Linked DNA regions of Tribolium castaneum. The protein of the gene in region 1 interacts with the protein of each later gene in a biochemical or structural test. Links are inferred from orthologs where the notes say so. Each region holds a gene or a part of one and is shown on either strand. Other genes may lie near its edges.

Region 1 (3,825 bases):
AATACGCCAAAAACATGTTTAAATTTTTCTTTTTCAAGCACCGATACGGCAGTTAGCGAAAAATGTCAAACATCTAAATCAACTTCTGCTGAATTATCCGACGTTCATTAAAATGACAATTTTAAAACTGTTTTCATCTTTTAATTTCATACTTGTTTTGCTAACGTAATTTTTAGAACGGAATATTGTCAAGTAAATGTTTTCTACTATGTAATGTGTAAATTTTGTAGAAGTTTTGAGTTCGGACGAGGACGAGATTGATGATCAAGGTCAGGAATATTTGGAAAATATCTCACGAAGAGCCATAACAGTGGGAAATGCTGCCGGAATGGCAATCTCAGGCACAATCAATGACATTGATGACGAGTCCGACGATGACGATTCTGATTTCGAACCGAATGAAGAAACGATGTTGGAAGCCTATACAACACCATTAGATGAAGAAAATTGTCCTGTAGATGAATACGATGTTTTCAAAGAAGTCATGACTAGTAAGTAACGTGTTTAATTGTTCAATTTTTTAGATTTATAAAATAAAATTTCAAGGATTGGAACGTTGTCAGCCTGAATGGTATAATGCCCTCACGGCCAATTTAACCGAACAACAAAAGAAGAATTTGGTAGATATTTGTGTGTTAGCGGATCAGAGGAAAGCAGCCAAAGAAAGTAAAAGAATTGAACAATCGGGAGGTAAAATTATATGATAGTGTTGGGGGAATAACAAATTAATTTTGTTTGTCCAGGTTTTATGTTTACACAACATGAAGTACCCACAACTTTTAAGTTTGGCGCTCCAAAACCGTCATGAATATATGTGACGTGGTGTGTAAAATTTTTGTGACTGAATGTAAAATTGACTGTTAAGACCAGTGAAATGATGTACAGTTGGTAATTTAATCTTTTTTAATTTTTATTAAGTGCCTTTTTATTAAACAAAAAAAAAACGGATGTAAACGATTTAAATTTACCTAATATAGATTTAAATGGAAGTTTATTTTCCGTGTAATTGTAATTATTTTTCGACTGTGTCTCTTTTGTCTCATTTGTTTTCTTCTTTAGGGAAAGACAATGTAGTAAATTACATTATTTCTATAATATACTGAAAGGTGTTAAGTTATTGCATTTTAATAAAGAATTGCTTCGAATTTTTGTAGATTTTTATTATGAAAAATTATCTATTTTCTTAATTAAATCAGTTACATTTCACTGAGGAGAAATTACAACACACCGCTTTGTGGTGCTTTACGCTGGAGTGAGATATGATGATCACAATAGAACGATTGAGATGAAAAAGCCAAATAAAACAACATAGTGGTAGCTTTAATAAACGAAATTAGTAATTAGGTATGCAAGAATCACTCGAGTGTCCTCGTCAACGAGCATAAAACAGTAAACTTATAAATAAGTTCTTTACACATAAGAATCACTTGAGACAGCGGTCGAAATAAGTACTGCCAACATACCCTCCACGCATCGCCTTCTGGACGTTCTGCTCAAACAGCCGCCTGTTGGTCGTGAGCACTTCAGCCGCTTCCTTGTTCAAAGGATCCTCTGGATTGGGTTCAAGGAACAAATACTGCAGTCCATAGACGATACTGTTGATAGTCAGTACGGGCTTCCAATCCTCCCTTAAAATGTTCAAGCACACGTTGCCCTGTTGGTCGATGTTGGGGTGGTAGACCTGTGTCTCGCATTTGACTTTGGGGGGCTCATGCGGGTAATTGGGGCCCACTTTGAAACTGAATACGAACCTCCCTGTCTTGTAGAAACCCTAAACGTCCCCCCAATTAACCACAACCCCACACACTAATCCACAACTAACCTCATCCGGACAAATCACCAGTTTGAAAGACAGCAAGTCGTCCGGATCGGGAAACTCCGTCGTGCAGGTCTTGGGCAGGTTCAGCTCGTTGATATCTGCAAAGGGAGGGTCAAAATGGGGGCGCAATGACTCACAACCAACCTTTCGTAATCCTCAACTGGGCTGCAGAGGCTTTCTTTTGATTTCCTGGTCGCGGTGAGGCTTCTCCATCTTTTTTCTGTTGCTTCAGCGAGAATAGTTTTATCATATTTGGCTGGCGCAGGGGTGGTGAGGGGTCAGAGCAATGTAATTTACTGCGAGCACACTTTACAAAAACATGGGAAAGTCGAGTTTATTCGATTGCTTTTTGCAAGAGAATTTTTCACACATCTGTCAATGTCAAAACTGTCAATGGGACATGCAGGAATTTACTTTACCATCGGAACGAATTCTTAATGAAAAAATTTAAAAAATTCATTTATTGCTAATGCTAAGAATTTTTCTGCAAAGCACTTAATCAAAAGATCCAAATCAATAAAGCAGACCATCAGAAGACTATGTTCAAAGCTATTTAAATTAATTTATTTCGTGCCGTTGTTATTACATTGGTACTACTGGTGCGTTTGTCATCCTCTGCGGATTTTTCGCGTCTTGAGTTGTTGAAATTCGTAAAATTATTCTGTGAAACGAATTATTTCGGTTTAGGAGCGTTTTAGAACTGTTCGTTATTGTGTTTTTAGTTTGTGTATTAGTTTGTTGACCACCAGACCACAGATGAACATTGAAACGAATGTTTGCAGTTACTCAAAGGTAAGTGTACACATTTCTAATTTATTTGTTAATATAAATCCAACCCTAATATTTTAAAGCATCGTTATTGAAATTTTATACGGTACTACATTTTGACGCGCAGAGCAACTTTTGCAAAGTTTGGGCCACGGGTTTGAGCCGTCGCGTCGTCTTCGTTAATTGTCATTCAACTATCAACGCAGACGACGCGACGGTTTGAGCAATTTTAATTTTTTTACGAAATTATTAATTAAAAAATATTTTAGCATTTTGCCTAAAATATTGTAATATTTAAATTAAAATTGAGTTTTCATGAATATGGGGTTTGTTGTCTAAAGTGATAGATAGCAGAGGAGATAACCATCTGACTCATCTGAGTGTAAAAAACAAATTTAGTGCTTTTCTGAATTGATAATTTTCCAAGTTTCTTAAAAAAAATTGGAAATGCAGTCATTTCACACAAAGTCTCATCACTCATCACGTCATCAGTTATCACATTTTATGAGCTTTGAAAAGTACGACACTCTAGAGACTATTTTGAACCCAAATAAATATGGTCTGTAATGTAACCATTTTACAGACGACTTCAGAGAAATGGCTTTTCTAGTTATCAATCAATAATTCATTAATTTAAAAAGCTTGTATTTTTCGTTTATTAATATTGTTTGTTTGATCCTATATCTAATTTTAGGAAAAAAATTGTGTTAAATAAAAATTATTGTGCAATTATTCTTGCATATTATCTGCAAATAATATTATATCACATCAGTTCCTTTTAAAAAGCACCAGTCATTACATTTAATTTTTGATGATCCATCACAACAATTATTACGAATTAAATGAGACTTAGTCAAAGTAGATATTTTTCTCCATGCTGTTATGAGGTGTAAAAAAATATTTGGGAGCATATTGTAAATGTAAATCACGATGAGTTTGCATAAAAGAATAACAGTTTTTTTCCTAGATTATTTAACCTTCAAATAAATTAAAAACTTACTACTCACTTACATCTCCTATAGCACATTCAAATTTTTGTATTTAACCATTTTTTTCTCCAGGAATTACTTAAATATTTATATACAGAGTATTCCAAGTTTTTGCACCGCAAAAAAATTATTAACTTTTCTCAGTATTTACAAGTATTCAATGTATTGCTCTGTCTAGAGTTTTTAGGGTAGATAAGATACGCTACAAAGATTTATTTTTACAGAAAACCTTGGAATACTCCGTATGTA
Region 2 (5,236 bases), on another chromosome or scaffold:
TGTCCTGAGTCTTTTTTGAAATATATGTCTTTTTGTCCAAATATTTCACGTTCAAAAAAAGTCAAACATATATTTTTTTAATTACAAAATAAAGTAACTGATTACTGGTTACTAATACATGTCTTTTCAGTTCGGTTTTACCGCTTTAATATTTTAAAACGGCAGTGGCGCGAAAACAGGGACGGGCCCAGAAATAATTTTGAGGGGACCACCAGCATTTTTTAAAGTAAATCGAAATAATCATGAAGCAAAACTATTGAAATTTTGGAGTTGTATCTGAATTTACGTAAACCATAATTTTTTATTTTAACAATCTTAAAATAAAACTCCGAAACATGCTCCCCTAGATCGGCCCTGCGCTCAAAAAAATGTTCCGTTAGTGAATTTCCTGAACTTTGACCTTGTAACTAAACCAGAGACGATAACAACGCAATCTTTGAAAATTACGTAATAAAAAACTTTTGTATTTACTAACACACCTTCAAAGGGCCGGTAGTTTAATCATTTAATTTTTTAAATGCTTCATTTTGACAATATAATGACGTTCCTGACGTCATTTACTTTTGAGTAATGACATATTTTTTTATTTTTCTTAATAATAACTGACCTTTTTGATTAATGTTTTAGATAGTACACATTTTTATCTTTTTGGAAAAAAAAGAAAATTAAAAAATTAAAAAAAGACATTAAGAGTATTACACAAAGAACTTTATTTTTCGATCTGGTTTTATTTTCTGAAAGGGTGATGGTTTTTTTCTAATTTTTTTTGTGTTTGAGTGTTATATTATGTGTTGCTGCCTATAAAGTAGGTAAGTCAGGAACAAAAATATAAAGCCCATTATGTTTGATTAACAATATTTTTTAAATTTTATTAAATAATTTTTTTGTTTTTACTTACTTTTCTTATTATTACAAAAAAATAAAGATGTGTACTATCTAAAACAGTGAAAAAAAAATTAAAAATGACGCCACAATTCAAAAACGAATGACATCATAATTGTAGCATTTAAAAAAATTAAATCGGCCTGTTTAAAGATTTTTTTGAAAAATGACTAGTAAGAAAGTTATGAATTTAGTGCGTTACTTTTTTTGGTTGTCTATATTTTGCTTATTTCTAGTGAGAAAATAAAAAAAAGGATGTTGAAACACAGCTTTATTAATTCAGATCAATTACATAGATTTGAAAAAATATGAAAAATATGAATGAACAAATGAAACACAACGAAAATGAACTAGAACAAAAAATTGAACAAACGTCGAAAAAATAGTAACTTTGAAAATGTCTAACTCTGATCCATCAAAAAGAAATCGTTAATATTATTAGCGGAATCTTTCTGGATCGAGTCGAAAATCTGGGCTAGGTCGGGAGAAGTCTTGATTTGGGTGACAAATTCGTTCAAGTGTTGGTTTTTATCTGGAAGAAAATAATTAGAAAAAATCAAATGAAGTCAAAATAGATGTACCGGCATCAGGAATGCTTAAAAGAGAAACAACAGCCCGCAGGGCACTTCTCTTAAGTTCATCCTGTTTCTCGTATTCCTGCTTAACCGAATTTGCTTTAACTTTCATGGTACAAGTTGCCTTCAAGGGCTCGACCAGTCTATCTAAGCCTGCAAAAAAACAATCAAACGATGTTCAAAACGCTGACATGACTCACTTTGCAATACGGCGCCGGGGCATATTTGAGCTAGTCGCGACACCATTAAATAAGTTAACATTTTAATATCGTAATGGTCCTTAAGGCCAAGTTCAACGTGATTGATAAATTCGAAAATATCGATTCTGTCCAAACAAGAATCAAGCAAGGTGTACATGCACTCGAACGCTGCCTTGCGCAGGTCCAAGCCGTCATCAACGGTATGCTTGAATGGGCCCATCTCAACTTCACGGATTAGCTCTCGCTGAAATAAATAACTAAACACCACCCTTAATCTCAAACACTGACAAATACCTTAATGTTAGTCTCGTGGTACAGACGGGGCAAAATCGTGTCAAGCAAATCACGGATCAGCGAGGGCTTGTTGTGAGCAGCCGAGTTGAAAGCCACAAGCGCCACTCGTCTCACATTCAAGTCGGGATCCTCCAAAGTATTCAAAAATTCGCCAATGCATTGCCGCAACAATGCGTCAATTGAAGCAGGCTAGAATTAAAAACAAGTCACTAAAACTAGACAAAATTGTACAAAACCTGGTCAGAAATCGTAAACTTGATCGCCGTCACTATCGTCGTGCGCATGAGCGAGGACTCGGAGCCCAGCGATTCCTTCAGCTTCGGCAGCAAATGGTTCGGGTCAATCAGAGTCAATTTGCCCAAACATTCCGAAACCACGTTCCTTGTCCCTTCCTCCTCACTCTCGCAGTGGCGGTACAAAGTGTCCCAAATCGCGGGCACGAAAGGCAGTAATTGTTGGATGCCCTCCGGTGTTGAAGACAGACACGCGATGACTTCCTTCAAAGAGTGAAGCAACAAGTACTGTCTTCGGGGCTCGTTCTCATCCTCGGTCAGGATAAACGGAAGATATTGCTGCAAGTTCCCGATGGCAATGCTGCCCAAAGCGTAGCTCGCAGCGGACTTGACTTCTTCAGACACGGCGAAAAACGCCTCGGAGATGATTTGCTCCAAGTTGGCAAATCCGGTCAAATCGCTGGAAAAGCAAGTTTAAATTTCGATTAGTTTTGGGCTCACTACGTACATTTCGCGCCCGATTTCGCCGACCACGAGCAAAGTGAAGATCTTCTGGGCGTCGTGGCGCGAAGAGCGAATTTCGTTGATGAATTGGGGGACGATTTGCAACGCTTGGTGTTGCATCGTCACTGTTATAGCAGCCACGCATTTGGCCAACGAGTAATAGGCTTGCTTGTGGATGACGGCGTCACCGGCCCCAGAACCCTGGCTAATGCTGATCGGGTGAACGAGAAATTGCAGCAAGTCGTTGTAGGACAATCCCGGAAGGTTGCATTGGACTAGAGTTTTGAAGAATTCCAGCATGGAATTCAGGGCGGAACCTATGAAACATTTGACCAATTCGGGACTTGAATTACGGGAAAATACCTTGCAGAAGAGGCGACTTCACCAAGACCAAGATTTGCGGGAAGATGTTTGTTGGCAGGTCTTGCAAAGCCAGGGGGTGGTATTCCGCAATCGACTTCAAGATCACCAAAGTGTACTGGGCTATGTGCAGGTCGGACTCGTCAAGGAGTGGTGGCACTTCCACTATTACGTGTTGGAGTAATTCCACGTACATGTAGACGTGGTAATTCTTTATTAAACAATCAATGAGTTGCAAAGTACTTAGTTTTAAAGCACGCTGGTTTTTACGCAGGAAGAGCCCCAAAACCGGCACTGCTTCGTCCTAAATCAGAAAATTGTTACGTTTTTATTGCGCAAACCCGGGAGTTATTACCAAAATCGGTAGTTCGATGCCCAATGGAGAGCCCGCAATTTTGGTCAACGCTTTAACTGTAGTCAACCTCGTGATTTCGTTACGTAATCTATCGAGGAACAAAGGAAGACAGCAAGACAATTCACTCCCTAGGTGATCACCCAGGTTGCAAATAATTTGCCCCATGGTCGAGATAGCTTTTTCCTTGACCTCTTGGTCTAAATCGGACGTCTTTAAACGCGATAAAGTGCAGAGGTAGATTTCCTTCACAAAGGGCGTGAAATCGAAGTTCGAGTCGCGGTCCAGAGGACGAATGACCTTGACCAGCTCTTTCAGAACGTTCAAAGCTTCAGCTGTGATTTTATAAAAGTTATCACCCACGTTAGCTATGATGTGCGGTAGGAGGATATTGATATGGGGATGAAAAACTTCAGGAGGGTGCGATGCCAAAAGACACAGGAGAAACGACAAGCCGTCAATTTTCATGTTACTGCTCCCATTTTTTTCACTCAGTGAAAATAGAATACCGGGAATCAGATCACCAATGTGGTGCGTTAAAGCGCCCGGTAGGACATTGCATAATTCTTTTAGGAGCTGGAAGCAGTCTTGGCGCGTCTTCGTGCTCTTTTCCTTCATTTGCGACTGCACGCCTTTCACAATCATTGGAACTTGCTGCTGGAGCAAGTAAATGGGCATCTCCTCCTGCTCCATGGAGTTCGGATCGATATTCACGTTAACAGTCGATTTTGTTTGTCTCAAAAGCGCGATGTAAGCACGGAAAATATCTGATTTCACGTTCTCTTCCCGCTCTGTGGATAATTCAATCGCTCGGCGTTCGCACACAATTTTACCACACTTACCTTTAAACCGGGAGATTAACACAGGCGACAAAACCTTGTAAAACTCAGACAATAACTCATGGCGAGTGCAGATGATGGATTCCAAGCACTTGGCAGCTGCACGTCTCACTTTCCAGCTCATGTCATCGTCATCGCTGTACTCGTCATTCTCCTCTTCTTCCTCGTCATCGTAAGCCCCCATGGCTCGATCATCCCCATCTTCGTCGTAGTTGTAATTCGGGTCATGAGTCATGTAATTTAGGCACAAGTCTGTGATCTGCGAAAAAATTGCTCAAAAACGTTGAGACCACGATTATTTAACTTACGGCGCTGATTTTCGGGGTGATTTCTTTGGGACAACGATTGATAAAACTCTCAAAAGCTTGTAAACAAAACTCTCTGGTCTCGTCGTCTTCCACAGCGCTCCACATTTGGATCAAAGGTACGAACTTTTCAATATGTTCGCCGAACTTGTGGCCCGACTGTCGGCTAAAGTGGTGGTTTAAGTGGCAATTAAAACAGGCAAAATTTCGACTCACCACACGGCTGCAATGCACTGCACGTAGGTGCGAATTTGGGAGTTCTTGTTATCAGTTCTCATCCCGTTGTACAGATGCTCGATTAGTTTATCGTACAATGCATTGTTGCACGAGAGAACTAAGTTACTGCAAGCTGCAATCGTACGTTTGCGGACTGCTTGCCGTTGTGAGCATAACTGAGGTAAGAGGGCGTTTAATATGGAGGCATGGTAGGATTGCAAAACGTTGCCAAAGCGGTATAACAAATCCGTGACAATGTCGAGAGCTTCCAGTTGCACGGACACGTCGTCTTGCTGCAAAGTTTCGTTGATTTTTGCTACAACGTTGACAAACGTACCCTTTCGATAGCAGTCGTCAAACGACCGGTGATCCGCTTGCAAATGTTTCCGGAGAGGCCCCCAGGTGCCTGTGGCAGTTCAGCGATAACCGTCTTGAGCCCAATGCTGGAAATATCCCGCAGTTGCTCCTTGTCGGAG

What was found.
Region 2: the proteins of UbcE2M (region 1) and Cand1 form a complex in vitro, tested with the Homo sapiens proteins (2 studies listed by BioGRID). The link is inferred for Tribolium castaneum from reciprocal best matches to the Homo sapiens genes UBE2M and CAND1.

What each region holds. Positions count from the first base shown.
Region 1 is NC_087394.1:37,270,239-37,274,063, forward strand, and holds UbcE2M (NEDD8-conjugating enzyme Ubc12), read right to left. Parts: upstream 2,242-3,825; 5' UTR 2,070-2,241; coding exon 1,964-2,069; intron 1,918-1,963; coding exon 1,823-1,917; intron 1,772-1,822; coding exon 1,424-1,771; 3' UTR 1,144-1,423; downstream 1-1,143. Other genes in the region: msk (importin-7), read left to right, coding at 231-491, 547-690, 744-808.
Region 2 is NC_087403.1:5,728,022-5,733,257, forward strand, and holds the end of Cand1 (cullin-associated NEDD8-dissociated protein 1), read right to left. Parts: coding exon 5,098-5,236; intron 5,054-5,097; coding exon 4,761-5,053; intron 4,711-4,760; coding exon 4,548-4,710; intron 4,499-4,547; coding exon 4,243-4,498; intron 4,192-4,242; coding exon 3,404-4,191; intron 3,353-3,403; coding exon 3,052-3,352; intron 3,006-3,051; coding exon 2,693-3,005; intron 2,645-2,692; coding exon 2,188-2,644; intron 2,141-2,187; coding exon 1,952-2,140; intron 1,902-1,951; coding exon 1,658-1,901; intron 1,611-1,657; coding exon 1,464-1,610; intron 1,415-1,463; coding exon 1,284-1,414; 3' UTR 1,139-1,283; downstream 1-1,138. UniProt on the Homo sapiens protein: Key assembly factor of SCF (SKP1-CUL1-F-box protein) E3 ubiquitin ligase complexes that promotes the exchange of the substrate-recognition F-box subunit in SCF complexes, thereby playing a key role in the cellular repertoire of SCF complexes.